4 linked regions of the Caenorhabditis elegans genome follow. The protein of the gene in region 1 purifies or fractionates together with the protein of each later gene. This does not show direct contact. Each region holds a gene or a part of one and is shown on either strand. Other genes may lie near its edges. The genes, in order: srh-199, leo-1, F46G11.2 and ZK673.6.

Region 1 (3,960 bases):
TGACACTTGTCTACAATGATGAAAATTGTAATAAGTTTGTTTTGAAACGTTTATTTTCTAATTGTGAAAATCGTCAAACCTTTCCAATGTTTGTTTTCAACTCCAAAAGAACAACTCATTGAAACAAAATCTGTCATGTCATGATCAGTTTCAAAACATCATGTACAATTGGATGCGTGATGAACTGTCTTTGCGTTTTTCATGGGCGAGAGAGTGAGTTTTTTAAACCGAATTTGTACTCAAAACGTACTCAATATGGCCGAAGGGGACTCGTCATGCACAACAAAATGCGGCCTTACGCAAAAATAGCAAAGTGATTTTTTTTTTCCAATGGAAATTTTTATATGGCCGGGTGAAGGGTCTATGTCAAGCAGTTTTTTTTAAAATAAATTATTTCAATTTTCTAAAACCCTTTAAAACTCAGTTCTGAATATTCATGAAGAGGGAAAAAAATTCTACACACATGGAATGCTTAAATAGTGCAACTGAATATCATCAATTTTCTCGTTACTTTACGTATTTATTCACATCATTAACACATCAACCAGGTGAAATATGAGCTACACGAGCCGAGCACCTGTGCAACCGCTTATCATTTAAGTTTTGGATCTTGGACAAGGTTCTTGGTGTTTTTTGAAACGTATTCAGAATTGTTTCCCGATAGGGTTGATGAAGTGAAAGCATTGCAGATGTCGAAACAAGTCCATGCATAGCGATAATTGTGAATGCAATATTAAGATATCCTTGATTATAATATTTCGTTAAAATTGTTATCACAACGTAGATTAGTGGAATAATAAAGAAAACTGATGGCACACAAACTTGAGAAATGAGTGCTATAAAAAACTTTTTCTGCAACTGAAACGTTCTTTGAGACATTGTTTTTCCTTTCAGTTGCTGACGACCGCTCCGAATAAGATATCCGAAAAAGAAAATCACTTCGAAACAAATAAGCACATGCAATGAGAAAATAAATGAAAAATGGTAAGTGATGTCTTCAGCAACCACGTAAACCGGACCATCGTATATATATCTAGGTAGACATGGAAGGTTCTGAAAAGTGGAATTTAATATTTTTATAGGTGAATTAGCGCCAGTGGGGAAAATGTTAAAAACTACTCATATGGCGTCAAAATTACCGAATATCTCAATAAAACTTTTCAGAAAAATTTTGGAAATTTTTTATTTACTGTCAAAAAGTTACAATTATTTAGTTTTTGCCACTCATAATTTTGGAAGTCGAGCAAAAAAAACAAATTTTTTTCTATATTTTTTATACTGTAATTTTGTTTTAATTATTTGTATTAAAACATTGTAGGGGTCGGAACATGCGACATTGCTTTGGATTTCCTCAAAATCTCATATTTTTTCAAAATTTTGGCAATTTGCTAAAACTTTGCCCGGAAATTATGAAAAATCTACAATTTTTCGGAGTATTTTTTTAAAAGATATTTGGTTGTTTTGGATCATTTTAAACAAAATTCCCACTGGCGCTACTTCACCTCTAATGAATTTTTTTCACAACCTGAAACACGTATTGTAGTGCATGTGTCTGTTCTGGAACAAAACATTTTATAGGAAGGATCAGCAGGACCTCTATTACATAATGCCCAGCTAGCCATACAATCCTCCAAAATTTCCACGTATTTTTCGAGGTGAACGAGCAAATTTTATAAAACCTATTTTCGAAAATCGAAACTATTCCGTTTAACATAACTATAAATTTGTCTCTTTCTGGGTTTCAAGCAAAAGGTCACTTACAAAAGTAAATTATTATAAAATATATTGACTGTGCAACAACTGACATTCCTGTGAGACGAAGCAGACCAAGTGGAAAGCCCGCAGCAAAAGGTGATAGAACAAAAGGGACTGTCATAATTGTATAGGAGTAGTCAAATATCATAACATAAATATGCAAAATTAGCATGTACCATTTCACACTCCTCATCTGCTTAGGAGTCTTAAAAATGATACAGTATAGTCCAAGAAAATGAATTGGTGTAGATATTCCTGTGATAATGTGCATATCTGTCAATAAGAAATCAGGAGTGTCTATATAGGTTAGATCCGGTATACATGTATAGTTCATTATTGTTGAATTGAACAATGTTTAACTTTTTGAGAGAAACGTTTATTAAGTTGATGGCCACGAATATTCTCAAAGAAAATATTTGAATAGTTAGTTGCTAAAAAATCGATCATGAATTGCTTGGCTGTCCTGACTAAAGACATTTCGTTTCGCGCAGCTGAAAACTATTTTTCGTCATAATGTCAGCAGATGAAAAGTAGGTGAAGTGACTAATGTTTGAAGATAAACTGTTTAAGAAAAATTTTTTTAAAAAATTTTTACAAATATTTGAAATTTTTTTATTTACTGTCGAAAGTTGGCAATTACTCAATTTTTGGCACTCATAAATTTGGAAATCGGCCAAAAAAATTGTTTCATACATTTTTTATACTGTAATTTTTATTTATTTATTTATTTATTTATTTATTTTAATACGATTCCATACGAATCGTGTCACAAGAAAAAAAACACAAAATAATACACATAATACACATAAAAAATCATAAAAAATATTTTTGTTTTAATTATTCGTATAAAAATATTGTAGGTGTCTGAACATGCGAAATTGCTTTAGATTTCCTCAGCCGCCTATATTTTTAAAATTTTTGGTAATTTGCCAAAACTTTGACCGGAAATTAATAAAAATCTAAAAAAATTTTGGAGTGTTTTATTATGATACTTGATCGTTTTGGATGAAATTCCCACTGATTCCAGCTGTAAATAAAAATTAAAATTTTATCACAAAAATCTTGTGGAGTACCGAAATTTGAGACTTTGCTTTTTTAGACGCAAATTGGTCCAAAACTACCAAATTTCGTAATGAGACGTTCTGAAAATTTTTCAAAAAACGTTATGGCGGTTCAAACTACTGCAAAAAAGATCCATTTTCAGCTAAAATCAAAATTTTTTCCAACTTCTCGGTGTCACAACGTCTGGAACCTAATTTTTATTCATTCATCATTTTTTAATAAATAGTGTGGCTTTTGATTAAGCGTTTATTCGTTGATTTAAGTACATTTATGGTCTTTGGGGCATAAATGAAAGTTTCATTTTGTGCCCCAAATGTATATCAACGAATCAACGAATAAACGCAAAAAAAAATCTCAAATTTCAATTTCAAAATCTCAATTTCTTTTAAGTTGCAGCAGTTTCTATGAAAGTTTGATTTTTTCCGAGGGTACTCTGAAAAACTATTCACCTGTCATGGTGTTTTATAGCCTCATGCTACACTTCAAAAAGCTTCAACTTGTAATTTCTGAGTTCTACCATGGAGTTTTTAATTTTTGCTGCACGTTCATACAAGGAACATGAAAACAGTCTTGACACATTGTTTCTTGACGTTATGGATGTTGTAATGCTTTTCATCCACACTACGAACTGCATATTCTTTTTATTATTACTGCTTTACAAACGAAGAAATAGGAAAGCAGAAAAACGAGTAAAATTCAAGGAATTTCATGCTCCGATTTTCCAGCAGCTCTTTTTCATTGCTGGTTGCACTCTTTTCATCAACAGTATAAATCTTTTTACTAGATTGATTGCTGATAGAGAGAGTAATTATTCTCTTGCAGCGATGCTTACTATCGCACTGTTCATTTATATTTCTATCGGTTTCGTTTTCGGATGCATCATATCGTTTACTTTTCTGGCTACTATGCAGCGTATTTTAATTCTTCACTTTGCGCAGTACAAATGGCTATTAATAAAGTGAGTTACATATAGAGTACCTTCAGTATTTTTGTAATAGTGCAAATCTCAGATCACAACTGAACATCGCAATATTTGTAGTTTATTGTTCAATGGCGTCTTACTCAGTTATTAATTGTATGTTTTATGAAAAAAACGTATATAACCCAATTAAATTTAGACAACTTTTATCTTCAAAAAGAGTC
Region 2 (3,993 bases), on another chromosome or scaffold:
AAAGCTCTCAATTCTGTATCGGATAACATCAACGAAATCTATATGTACTATGTTCAATTTGAAAGAGAAGAAGGAACATTGGCTGAGTTGGATTTGGTTCTTGAGAAAGTGAATTCACAGGTTGCTCATCGAGCCATTCGACCACAAAAGAAAGTTTCTGAGAAACCAGCTCCAGCTCCTAAATCAAAGCAAGATCATATTCAGAAGAGAACGTCGGGAGGTGAACCAATTGTAAAAAAAGTGAAAGGAGACGACGGAGGTAAATAATTTTTAAAAGTAAAGAAGTTAATTTGAATTAAATTTTAGGATTCAAAGCTCCACTTCCACCATCCAATGCGAAAAGTTCATCAGCTGTATCCTCTTCAAATGCTTCGTCGACACCAGCTCCAGGTTCCTTTGCAGTTCAGAAAGCAGCTCCAGGAACGGAAGATGCTCGCACAATTTTTGTTTCTAATCTCGATTTCACTACGACGGAAGACGAAATTCGACAAGCCATTGAAGGTGTTGCTTCAATTCGATTCGCAAGAAAAGCGAATTCGGATCTTGTGCACAGAGGGTTCGCCTATGTTGTAATGGAGAATGATCAGAAGGCACAGCAAGCTCTCTTGAAAGATCGAGTTCCTGTGAAGGGAAGGCCAATGTTTGTAAGTTTTAATTTTACTTTATAAATATTTGTGAAATTTTAATTTCTGAAAATTCAGATCTCCGCCAACGATCCAGAAAAACGGGTTGGATTCAAATTCTCAACCACTCTTGAAAAATCGAAAGTCTTCGTTCGCAATGTCCACTTCCAGGCAACCGACGATGAGTTAAAGGTAATATATACTTATCTATCATTTTATATTCTAAATCGATACATTTCAGGCATTATTCTCGAAATTCGGTACAGTAACCAGTGTTCGACGCGTGACTCATAAAGATGGAAAACCAAAAGGAATCGCATTCGTAGATTTTGACACAGAAGCAAGTGCTCAAAAATGTGTTGCTTCTGGTGATAAATTGATGCTTCGAGAAAGAGAACTAGAGGTAGCGTTATCCAATCCACCAGTAAAAAAGGATAAATCGCATGGAAAACCAGCAGCAATTGGAGCAAGTTTGGAAGAAGATGGACCTAGAAAAGGACATGCTGCAAAACTGCAATTGGTTCCCAGAGCTATTAGTAAGTATATCATCTTTAGTTCCCAGCTTAGCATAAAAAAATCCATTTTCAGCAAACAAAACTCCTCAAATCACTGCTCGGCTGGACGCAATGGATGTTTCCGAAGGCACTTCAACGTCTCAGCCACTTTCAAATGATCAATTCCGTAAAATGTTTATGAAAAATTAGGGCCGTTTTTCACCAGAAACTTTCATTGTTCATATCAAGATTCATTTAGTTATTTAATTTCTATTACGTTCCCCAGTGTCTCCTTTCCAATTAAAATTCCGGTAGATGCTATTTTTGATGTTCTCGCTATAATTATATTTGTTCTTCACTACGAATTGCAAGATTTAGTTTCATAACTGTTCATAATCCTTGTTTTCTTTTTGTTTGCTAATAATTTGTAATAGAGATCCCCCAATATTCATTTTCAACTTATTGCCTATGGATAAGAAAATCTGAATTTTCAACAACTACTTTTATTATTCAATTTTTATCGGTATATTCGACCCCAAATTATTACTTTGTTTTGCTACTTTCGCTATTCAAAGAACTTAGGTATGCAATATTTTCAATTCAGATGTCATCTTCTGAGGGTAATTCTGACGCTTCTGCACCAGGAACACCAGTTAAATCGTAAGTAAATGGTAATTGTGTTTCTAAAATAATATAATTCAATTCAGATCAACTCCATCTTCTCGTGGATCGTCGCCAGATTCACCAAAAAAACAAGAACCGTCTAAGAAAAGAGCGATATTAAATGAGTCCGACGATGATGATGATTCTCGTCCTGCTCCTCGACAATTGTCCGATTCTTCTGACGATAACATTCATCCGAGAGGAGGAGGTGAAAAGAGTTCCCCCGGTGCTGGTGGTGGTTTGTTCGGTGATCTCTCTGGCTCTTCCGACGATGATTCCGACAGAGAAGGAAAGCCGAAAGAATCAAATACAAGAGCACGATTGTCAGATTCCGATGCGGAGAGTCGTGGAAGTTTGAATGATTTGCAAGGAATTGTGATGGCTAATCCAGATGAAATAGATGAAGATGAAAAAGCAAAGGAGCATGTTCATGATACTGAAGTAAACATTTTCAATGAAATAATGTGATTAAAACATTGATTTTCCAGATGGTAACAGGTCGTGTTACTTTGGAGTACGCTGCAGATCCACCACATTTTGTCAGAATGCCAAACTTTCTATCAGTCGCCACTCATCCATTTGATCCACAACATTACGAGGAAGACGAAGATGATGAGCAGGCGAAATTGGATGATGAAGGACGAACACGTCTCAAATTGAGAGTATGTCTGTGTTATAAATACATCTCATCAAATATACAATTTTTAAGGTGGAAAATACACTTCGCTGGCGAGTTCGCAAAGATGAAAATGGAAAAGAAATTCGAGAGAGTAATGCAAAAATTGTAAAATGGGACGATGGAACGTTAGTTTTCAATTGATGCAAAATTTCCATATCGTGACTTAATTTCAGAATGTCTCTATACCTCGGAAACGAAATTTTCGAAGTCTCATTGGTGCCGCTGAATTCCAATAATCTTCCCCATCTTTACGTTAAGCAGCCAACATTAATGGTATTTTGATTGTTAATGTTTTTATTTTAATCAAAATTTATGTCATTTTTAGTCGGCTCAAGCTGTTCTTACACATCGTATGACCTTCCGTCCTCACTCGACTGATTCCCAAACTCACAGAAAAGTCACACTCAATATGGCAGATCGAAGCAGGAAGAATGCTCAAGTTAAAGTCATGGACGATGTTGGTCAGAATCCGGAAATTACACGGCGTGAGAATGCCCGGAAGGAGGAAGAATCACTTCGTGCACACATCCGACGTACTCAGATGGTTCGGAATAACTTTAAAGTTCGTGGTCCGAGATATGCAGGACAATATTCTGATGATGAAGATATGCCAACGTCATCCAGAAAAGGAAAGAAGAAGGAAGCACCAATTATTGGTAAGTTCAATTTAATTTTGATTAGGACTTTACCAGAATAAAGAAACTGTACTACAATAATATATTTCAGGTGCCAGCTCAGAAAGTGAGGACGATCATGCGGATACCACAAAGAAAAGCGGATCGGATAGCGATTCTGATGAAGAGTACCGAAAGAGAAAACAACAACAAAAGAAACAGATTGTCACCAGTGACGAAGAATCTGACTAAATTTATTTCAATTTTGATCCTCACAATTTTATATTTCGCGAATTCAATATTTCTCCCTTTACAATATTTCGAAAATGTTTTCCTTTCCTTATTTATTTTAGTCTTCGATATTTCGAGATAATGAAACATCCACAATATTATGAAAAACCGAGCTTTTATTTCTTAATTTCAATCAGATTGTATGTAATATTTAAAATCATACATCCACTACGTCTTCCTCGCTTCTCAAAGAATTGGCATCAAGTGTCGTATCATAAATTCTGAAACTTGAAATAATCTACGATTTCAGAATTCTCAAAATCAAACCTCCGTGTTTTATCGTTTTCCATTGCTCTTGGGGAAATCGATACATTTAATATCAACTGAGCTTCTTCTTGATTTCCAGAGCTTCTCGATCGCAGTAAAAACATCAATATAATGATTTGAAAGAAGATTCCATAAATTAAAATTCGAAAAACTATAGGTTTTGACTTTTGATTCCAGAGTATTTTAAACATCTTTGTGGAAAATGTAGGAAATGATTTTTCACGTTTGATAAAGAAACTGACTAATAAATTTTTACATCTAACAACAAATCTTTGAATCAATCATATTATAATATACACGGAACCACTATGTCCGAAAGATTTAAAATTTAAAAAAATTGAAATTGAAAAAAGTATTCATTG
Region 3 (4,454 bases), on another chromosome or scaffold:
TACTGTAAATCATTGAGCTTTTTAATTATAAGTTATTTCCTTCAAGAGATTGCACTTCTTAAAATGTTCGCAAAAATTGTATTTCAAACTCGGAAAATTCAATTGTTTCTTTTTCTGATTCAATTCAATAATTTCTATTCATTTGTGATCCCAAAGGCAATTAGAGATTTTTTAAAAAATAAGTTTTCTGTTTCAAAACTTTTTCGAATTGAACTATTTCACCAATTGTCAACATTTATTTACAACGAAAGTTTCAGCCATTAAATTTTATTTAAAGTGTTAAAAAATGTTTTTCTTTCAAAAATAGAATATTGCCGAATGAGAAAACTGTTTACAGTTACGTGCTCATAACCAAACTTAAAAACCAGAAGTATCAAAATTTTTATATACATACAGTCACAATGTGTCAATTAGTCAGTTCTTCCACTAACAGATTTGGAAAAAAACATCGATATGCAAATTTGCCCTATTGTCCAAATCAAATCACACATTTTCCAAACAGGACCATTAACCAGAGTATTTCTTTTTTCCAATTTTGCGTTCAGTAAGTTTTTCATTTCAAAAGAATCTTGATTTATTACACCCGTCAATCAAACAACTGAAATTTTAAAAAATAAGAAATGATAGAAAAACTGTACATATGTGGATAAGATCTATACACCAAGTCCCAGAAAATGGACGCACTGTTTCAGACCGGTGGTTTCAATTTCATCTTTCTCATCTATGTCACTATCAAAGTTTCCATAGTAATCATCAGTATTGCCAGACGATTTTTTAGATGAATCAGAAGTTTTTGAAGGTTTCTTCTTTTCGTCGATCTGATCGTAGTAATCAGGAGATCGTCTGAATCGCTTGATCGGATTGAAGTCCTGAAAAAATTTAGATTTTAAAAATTCAAGTTGTTATTCACCTTGAGGAAATTGAATTTATCTGTCGAGAAGAATATTCCATTCTCCAACTGTGGTGCTTGAATCGGTTGTAAAATTAGTGAAGGCACAGATTTGAAAGCAAGCGGCGGGGCTGGTGGAATAGTTGGAGGCGCGAAAAATGGCATTTGAGTCCAGCTAGAGACAAGATCATTTCTGATTTCCAGCGGTTGTAATGATTCTGTAAATATTTTAAATATAATGAAAAGCTTACTTGAAATAAACATACTTGTCTCAGGGTTGCTACTCCACGTTTTGGATCCGTGTGCTGTTTGCACGGGAATCACCGGGGTAATAGATGGGGTATCATAATCCGCCCAGCGCTTCTGAAATTGTTAATAATATTCTCATTGTTCTAAAATGAGAAAAAGAAAACCATACTCTATTATCATCGTCTTGTAATTGTGCAGGATCGTCCATCATTGGTTTTTGAGGCTCATCATCAGTAGGCTCATCAAAATCGGGGATCGATGTCACTGGTGGTTCTGTGGATGGAGGTGCACCGCCTTTTGCATCTGTTGGCTTTTCAATAGATGTCATGAACCTGAACTTATTTTTTCTATAAGTTTCAATGTTAAAGCTAACATACTTATCAATCAATTGGAATCCCTTGGAAAATAATTTACACTGCGCATCATCCATGCCTTGTTCTTTGCATACAGCGTGAACTGCATCAGAGTTACTGGAAATTTGATTTACACTTTATTATATTTGTTTTTTTGTTTGCACAACCGTACCTGCTGATAGTTTTTCTAAGCTTAGCATCTCCAAGTATTTGAGCAGCAAGTTGTATATTGCCAAATGTCGGATCTTTTTTGAAGTTTTCAGCAGAACACGAAATGAATCGGCAAATACTGAAATTCCCAAAATAAAAAAAAATGAAAGTTCCAAAACATTCGAATTACTTACTTGCTATTCCCCTTGCAAAGTGGTACATCATCTAACGCAGTTCTCGAGTGTGATCCCAAAATTGATGAGTCGCGCATATCATCTTGAGTTGGAGCGTCCTTTAAAATTTCAATGTATTATTTGGAACTAATTTTTACGCGTGCTCGCGTATGTCATTTTCAAAATTTTTGAAGCATTGGAAAGTTCAGAATGCTCAAAACTACTGAATTTCGTGATAAGACGTTCTGAAATTTTTTTCAAAAACGGTATGGCGGTTCTAAATTTTGAATAAAATGTAAATTTTCACTAAAATCTCAAATTTTACTCGATTTACTAGAAATTTTGCGCGACCATTTGTGGATGTAAGTTTTTATTGCGTAATTTTGTAATTACGTCCTGTTTTTTGATTTAGGCTCTGATTTTGTCAAGTTTGCAAAATTGGAGATTTTAAAACAGTCATTTTTTCAGTACTTATAACCGCCTTCAGTAATTCTGAGGAATTTTGAGTACGTCTCATTACAAAATTCGGAGGTTTCTAGCTATTTTGGGTTTAAAAATCGAATTCCCAGATTGTTTTACCTCACCGTTTAAGCTTGCAAAGAAGCTTACAGGCAATATTGGTGATTCAATTTATATCACCTAATTCGATCAGTTCTGGAATTGACTCTGATTTTGAGCTTACTGGTTTAAGCTTACTGGTTTAACTCACTGGTTTTCTAAGCATTCCTTCGTTTTGAATAGGTTTTGAAGTGTCAAAGATCGGTCTCACGAGACTTAATGCGCCGGATATAATGTCATCAATTGAAACTGAAAATTGTGAAAGATTGCTTAGGTTTACAAGGACGCTAAAAATAAAACTTACTTTGCCTTTTGCTTCGCTCTGATAATACTACAGGTACCAATAACAGAAAAAGTAAGTAACATTTCATCTGGAAAAACGGCTTTGTGATCACAAAAAATTGAACACCTAATTGAAAAGATAAAGAACGAGGTTAAGGATAAGATCACGGTGACCGATTTAGTGAGAAAGAGACGAAAATGATAAGAAACGGTGAATAAAATGATATAGTCTTTCACTTTGGTGGGTCATGAAGCATGAAGCAACTACGATCCAAGACTGGATCAAGTGATTAAATGATGCGCCTTGCGACATACTCATGTTTAGTGAACTTATTGAAAAGGTCGCCTGACGCTTCTAGAAATAACAGTATTAAGGATGAACGTCCGGAGGTAAGCGGGGGAAAAGTTTTCCTAAAAACCGGTCAATTGCGAGACTCGTCTGCGCATCCGCGTGTTCCAACCATATTTCTAATATATCTCCATTCAACAAGCGCATAGGGAGATTCTCTAAATTTCGCTTGCGCAGGGTTGATCGATCGATCGAATTACTCCGGTTATAGTAGGACACTTCGCCTCCAATCCGGTGATGCAATTCATGGATAGAGATGATAGAAACAGCAAATCACAGCGGAAAACAAAAAAATCCACGCTCGCTTCATTGCTTCATGATTGGAAAAAGGTAGTTCAAGTTCAAGGCCGACAAAAAACAGAAAAAAATAGATAGAGAGTGAAAGTAAAAAATATATATAACAAATTTTTAATACTACAGCTGGTTTGCATGGTATTCTGATACATTTGCATAAACCGTTTTTTTTTCACTTTTTTTCTGAATACGTGCGTAATGTTTGTCTGGCTTGAAAGTACACAGAGAGAATGAAAAAAAAAAACAATTCCGATTGTGATATGCATGTTATTCATTCAATGAAAACGTGTACTTTAAAATGTTTTAAATGACAAAACACCAGATAACCATAGATTTAAAATCGAAGTTGTTAAATAAAATCACAGAAGTGAAAAGTAAATGAACATGAAACTTCATCTATTGACATTTTCTGCGAGTACACTGCCCATGTTCAATTGGAACCACAGTTGTTACACAGAACAAGACAACGGCGGCAGACGACGCACGGAACCGAATTGGGAAGGGATTGAAGATTCCCGCCTCAAAGTGGTTTGGATACTGAAAATAGACATTTTGTAGATATTGTTCTCCAAATTTCCTAAATTCTTGATACCTGAACATTTTTGAACAGTGACTCTTCAAGGCTACATCCCATATCATCAATAATAGGGTATGGCTGGAAACCTGGCTCATCCGAGCTCAATGTGCAATTTACAACTTGGAGGCAATTTCCAGTTATTGGCTTACACTTTATTTTATAGTAAATCTCGTCGTCAAGAGATGCTCCTGAAATTTTTGAACTTTTTGAAACAATAACAGAGGCTGTTTGACAGACATTGTATATGTTTGTAGTTTTTTACAAACTTCTTTTTTTTTTAAATTCAAATTTGTTATTTTCTGAAACTTTTTTCAAACACCAGAACTAAAGCATACCTGAAACAACTTGTCCATAAGGTCCCTTTTTGTGAATCGAAAAGTCGCACGTTATACTATTATCAACAGTTTTCGACAACAAGTTCGGTTTTTGTTTTGACTTATAGATGGATAGCGTGGGCGCTAGAACGCTAAGAAAAAGTATGAATACGAGAAGTTGGTTGGACATTTGTATGCTGGATCGATTCATTCCATTCTGGAGATACCCCGATACAAGTAGGTCATTGCGTTCGGAACAATGTGTT
Region 4 (3,916 bases), on another chromosome or scaffold:
CAGTCCCCCTCAACAAAATTAAACAAAACTTTAAGATTCTCAAATCTTCGAAGCGAGTATATGCGGGGAATCTGATGTGGCATCGAAATTTCAGCTTCACAGGTAAATTGAGTTTTGTATTGATTCTTAGTTTTTTAATATAAAACTGAAAGTTATCAGAAAAATTTTTATTTCTCATCGGAAGATGCTTGCTTACTTTTAAATCAAATCAGAATGTATATTCAGAATCGAAGAAGAGTCCGAAAACGGCGATGAGCAAAGTTGTGCGGGAGCCCATGATCCACTGATCAACAGTATGACCCATAGTCCTTCTCAATTTTTTCCACGGAGTATCTCACAACAATTTGATATGATGAGACTACAATAAATGTGTTTTGTATTATTATAATTCTGCTTTGAAACGGGAACTAATAATATTGATTTATCAAATATATACGAGAAGTGTTATTGTGTGGTTCCATTCTTTATTCAAAATCACTCGTACTGGTGTGGATAAATATCAAATCATTGCTTTATAATTATTGTTCAACTGTTATGCTTTTGAATTAAAAAGAAACAAAATATGAAATTCCAATATATTTATTTCAAAGCCTTATATTAGAATTTCAATTATGATAATATCTTTTGTACACATTCAAACTTCATTTTTTCTTCAAATCTTTCACTGTTCCCATCATGCTCTTGTTCTTCTTGTTAGTGCTTCTGGCAACAGTCGTCGTCTTGCCCTTTTTTTGCTGTCTCTTGCTGTCTCGCGTCATCCATTCCTTTATAACGCCACTTCTAACGGCTGTCAGGGCGCTAATAACCACAAGACCCTGAAAATTAGAAATAATTTTCAGTAAAGGCTCAAAAATAAAACGAACCTGTTTGAAGTGGCGATTATGAAAATGTCGACCAGCTCGGACGTACTCCTTCAGATTGTCCAATTCACGGCACTGTAAAAATTGCACTTATACAAAAATTTTCCTTTCTAAATTTTCCAACAATATCTTGGGGATTCTTTCTACATGCCCATGAAAAGCTTTTAAAGTTGCAACAATTTTACAAAAGTAGTTGTGGAAGTTAACTTGCCCACGGGTTTTGTTTGACACTTGGATCCCGTTGCAGTACGTGATTTTTTTTTCAATTTCAGAAAATATGTCGTGACACTAAATTACAAAACAGCACGTATTGTTGCGATTTCCAGATTTCAAATTGCGATAGACCAAGTCGTCAAGCTTTGCCAAAAAAATAACAAAACTCCCTTCTAAATTCACCTGTTCATCTAATGTATGCACTGCCTTATGGTATTTTGTGCATTGATCTCGAAGGTCTGGAAGAATCTGTGTCTTTTCCACTTTCTTTCTTCTACGATTGCACGTCTTCACAGTTTTCTCCACATCACTGTACATCTTCTTGATCTTATCACAATAAAATACTGTCGTTGTGTAGATGTTTGAGTCATGGTCCACATTTTTGATATCATCTGTAAAAAGTTTCAATAGAATAGGAGAAATAATTTTGTTTTCCTACAGAAATGTTGCTCCTCCTTGTGGCCCATTTTTTCACACAATTCCGCAATCATATTGGCTTCCGCCTCGTTCTTCTTGATGAACTCGACCTTCTTCAAGTATGCCGGCATGTATCTCCAACCGCTGTTGGGAACCTCCGTTTTATCAGAGAAGTGATAACTTGTTCCCGACTGAAAATTCATGCATTAACACGTGTACTATTTGAGTTGGCTCCGCTATTCAAAATCTTACAATGCACATTTTCTCAAGCCCGACGGTGACGCCTTGCATGACATCAAGGTACTTGATAATCCACTCAATATCACTGGAGAACTGTTCGTTCAGGTTAAATTGATCCTTGTTAAGAATTTTACCGACGAAGTTCGCGTCCTCTATCTCTGAGCTTTCTCTATAATATCTCAGATTGCGAAGAATAAAATTCTTATGAACTTACGGATTATTAGACTTTGGGTTCTCTTCAGCAAGATTAGATGGGCTCACAGGAGTGCTGGTCGGCAAATTTGACATTTTTGAAAACTGATTGAGTATTGATTTGGAATACGAGATTGAGTATTTCCACGTTTGTCTTCGAAAAAATAAGTTTTCACGAATAAAAATTAATAATCTATTTTATTTGTTTTTTGTAACTAATTTTTCTAGCATTAATGCCAATTGGCGAAAAATATTTCCGAATTCGCTGGTCCAATGATCCTATTCTCCAAAAGCAACATCTTTGCTCAGTTTTACTGTTGTTGACCCCATAAATTAGCTATTTTCCCAGATATGCCGGAAATTGTGTTCATTTCTAATAACCTTGTTTGCCAATGTTATCGTCACCCCGTCTGGAAAAATACCATCGTAAAAGGTGCAAGGCATCCCCCACCTATAATTCCTTGTGTCTCATAGTGGGAAGAAGGTCGGCCCCGCTGGATAATAACCAAATGGGGCGTGGTCTACCGGACCGTATATATAAGGACAACCGGAAAGAAATAGTATCATTCATTCTGGAAATCTTCCAGTTGTTAGCTACCCAGCTCTTTCTTACCGTCTACCCTTTCTCTCAATTCTCACTGTCAAAATGGAGTACTCTCAAATTCCATCCTTCGCATTCTACAACAATGCTTCCATCTTTCAATTCTTCCCTCGAAACAAGCGTCTCAACACTCATCAGAAATCTTGCCTTGATGAGCATGCTCGAAAAATGGCTGTTTTCATGATGGAGAGGCAAGAAGAGTACCGTTACTACGAGAACTTGGCCAATCAGGAACAATTCTCCGATGATGCCTGCTTCAGTGACACTGGAATGGACTCCGGATTCTGCAGTGGAGCCACTTCAACTGGACAATCAGCTTCAACTTCTCCTGCTCCAGCCCATCTCATCCCAAATCCATTTTTTGATCCAGAATATGTTGCCAAGGCTCAATCTCCAGTGAAACTCGTTGCCAATCCATTCTACAATCCAGAACTTGTCAAGGAAATCAAGAAGAAATCCCGTGTTTCAGTTTAATATTATTAATTATTTTTATTTATTTTTCCTCAAACAGTTTAGTCGGTTTTTCTGATATCCAGGTTCGGTTTTTATAATTGTACTTTTTCTTGGAAATGATTACAAAATTTCTGTCCGGTATTTTTTCTGTATTGGTTTTCTCAATTTTTAACAACTGTACTTTTACTCAATTGTTTTAATAAATTAATCAGACTAATTAAAAGTTGTTTTTCACTTCAAACGACCACGCTTTCAATACTAATTGAATACAATACATTTCTGAATAAAATTTTTTTGCTAGTTCCACCATCGAAAATTCCAATTACTCCAATTACTTTAAGCTAGTATTTTGTAGCACATTCGTTTTTTTCAAAATTTTCAGATGATTGATTGATTTATTTAACATAACTAATGCAATTTACAACTGTACAATTGAATTTTGAGTGTTAAATAAAACGGTAAAACGAGACTAACCCAGAAAGAGTACGTCTCGAGTTTGGGACGGGAAAGGAGAGAGAGGGTAATGTGGTAGAAGAGATCAGTTAGAAGTCAAAGAGAACCAGCGGATAAAAGTTAATACCGGGGAATATTGAGATCGAGAAAACTTGAAAACTGATAGGGGGAGAGAAATACCGGTATATTTTTGACAAGATTGTTCCAAATAGGAATGGATTTGGCAAAGAAATGAGAGGTGCATGTGTCTTTCCTAACCAGAATCATGGGTCTCCTATTGGAATTAGAGAACTTGACAAACTGAGTTAATTTAGAGAAATGAGTAGAACCGGTAAGAAGTCTATATAATAGTTTCATTTGAGCTTTAATTCTAGTGTGTCTGGTGGAGAATAGTTCCATGATGCACAGTCTGTTTTCGTAAGAGGTGAATTTAACGTTGCACCTTTGCAGGACGCGGTTGGTGAAGGTCCTAAGCGGTTTTTCAAGT

What was found.
Region 2: the proteins of srh-199 (region 1) and leo-1 fractionate together in Caenorhabditis elegans (co-fractionation; one large-scale study listed by BioGRID). This does not show direct contact.
Region 3: the proteins of srh-199 (region 1) and F46G11.2 fractionate together in Caenorhabditis elegans (co-fractionation; one large-scale study listed by BioGRID). This does not show direct contact.
Region 4: the proteins of srh-199 (region 1) and ZK673.6 fractionate together in Caenorhabditis elegans (co-fractionation; one large-scale study listed by BioGRID). This does not show direct contact.

Annotation. Positions count from the first base shown.
Region 1 is NC_003283.11:1,749,461-1,753,420, forward strand, and holds srh-199 (Serpentine Receptor, class H), read right to left. Parts: upstream 2,090-3,960; coding exon 1,762-2,089; intron 1,717-1,761; coding exon 1,526-1,716; intron 1,054-1,525; coding exon 541-1,053; downstream 1-540. Other genes in the region: ZK697.1 (Serpentine Receptor, class Z), read left to right, coding at 3,336-3,775, 3,828-3,892, 3,936-3,960.
Region 2 is NC_003282.8:11,327,098-11,331,090, reverse strand, and holds leo-1 (RNA polymerase-associated protein LEO1), read left to right. Parts: upstream 1-1,721; coding exon 1,722-1,777; intron 1,778-1,824; coding exon 1,825-2,221; intron 2,222-2,268; coding exon 2,269-2,442; intron 2,443-2,489; coding exon 2,490-2,584; intron 2,585-2,632; coding exon 2,633-2,732; intron 2,733-2,784; coding exon 2,785-3,115; intron 3,116-3,185; coding exon 3,186-3,325; 3' UTR 3,326-3,470; downstream 3,471-3,993. Other genes in the region: sart-3 (Spliceosome associated factor 3, U4/U6 recycling protein), read left to right, coding at 1-259, 307-644, 702-815, 865-1,159, 1,212-1,327; B0035.21 (Kinesin motor domain-containing protein), read right to left, coding at 3,522-3,585, 3,632-3,735. UniProt on the Caenorhabditis elegans protein: Component of the PAF1 complex which is a multifunctional complex involved in transcription initiation via genetic interactions with TATA-binding proteins, elongation and transcription-coupled histone modification.
Region 3 is NC_003284.9:5,786,452-5,790,905, reverse strand, and holds F46G11.2 (uncharacterized protein), read right to left. Parts: upstream 2,746-4,454; 5' UTR 2,744-2,745; coding exon 2,677-2,743; intron 2,622-2,676; coding exon 2,524-2,621; intron 1,934-2,523; coding exon 1,836-1,933; intron 1,781-1,835; coding exon 1,664-1,780; intron 1,609-1,663; coding exon 1,516-1,608; intron 1,471-1,515; coding exon 1,308-1,470; intron 1,253-1,307; coding exon 1,156-1,252; intron 1,108-1,155; coding exon 911-1,107; intron 870-910; coding exon 654-869; 3' UTR 561-653; downstream 1-560. Other genes in the region: F46G11.6 (ZP domain-containing protein), read right to left, coding at 3,694-3,834, 3,890-4,062, 4,210-4,378.
Region 4 is NC_003280.10:10,462,302-10,466,217, forward strand, and holds ZK673.6 (uncharacterized protein), read right to left. Parts: upstream 2,030-3,916; 5' UTR 2,019-2,029; coding exon 1,945-2,018; intron 1,900-1,944; coding exon 1,743-1,899; intron 1,682-1,742; coding exon 1,513-1,681; intron 1,466-1,512; coding exon 1,257-1,465; intron 936-1,256; coding exon 864-935; intron 816-863; coding exon 642-815; 3' UTR 566-641; downstream 1-565. Other genes in the region: ZK673.11 (Protein aurora borealis), read left to right, coding at 36-102, 226-367; sdz-37 (SKN-1 Dependent Zygotic transcript), read left to right, coding at 2,569-2,997.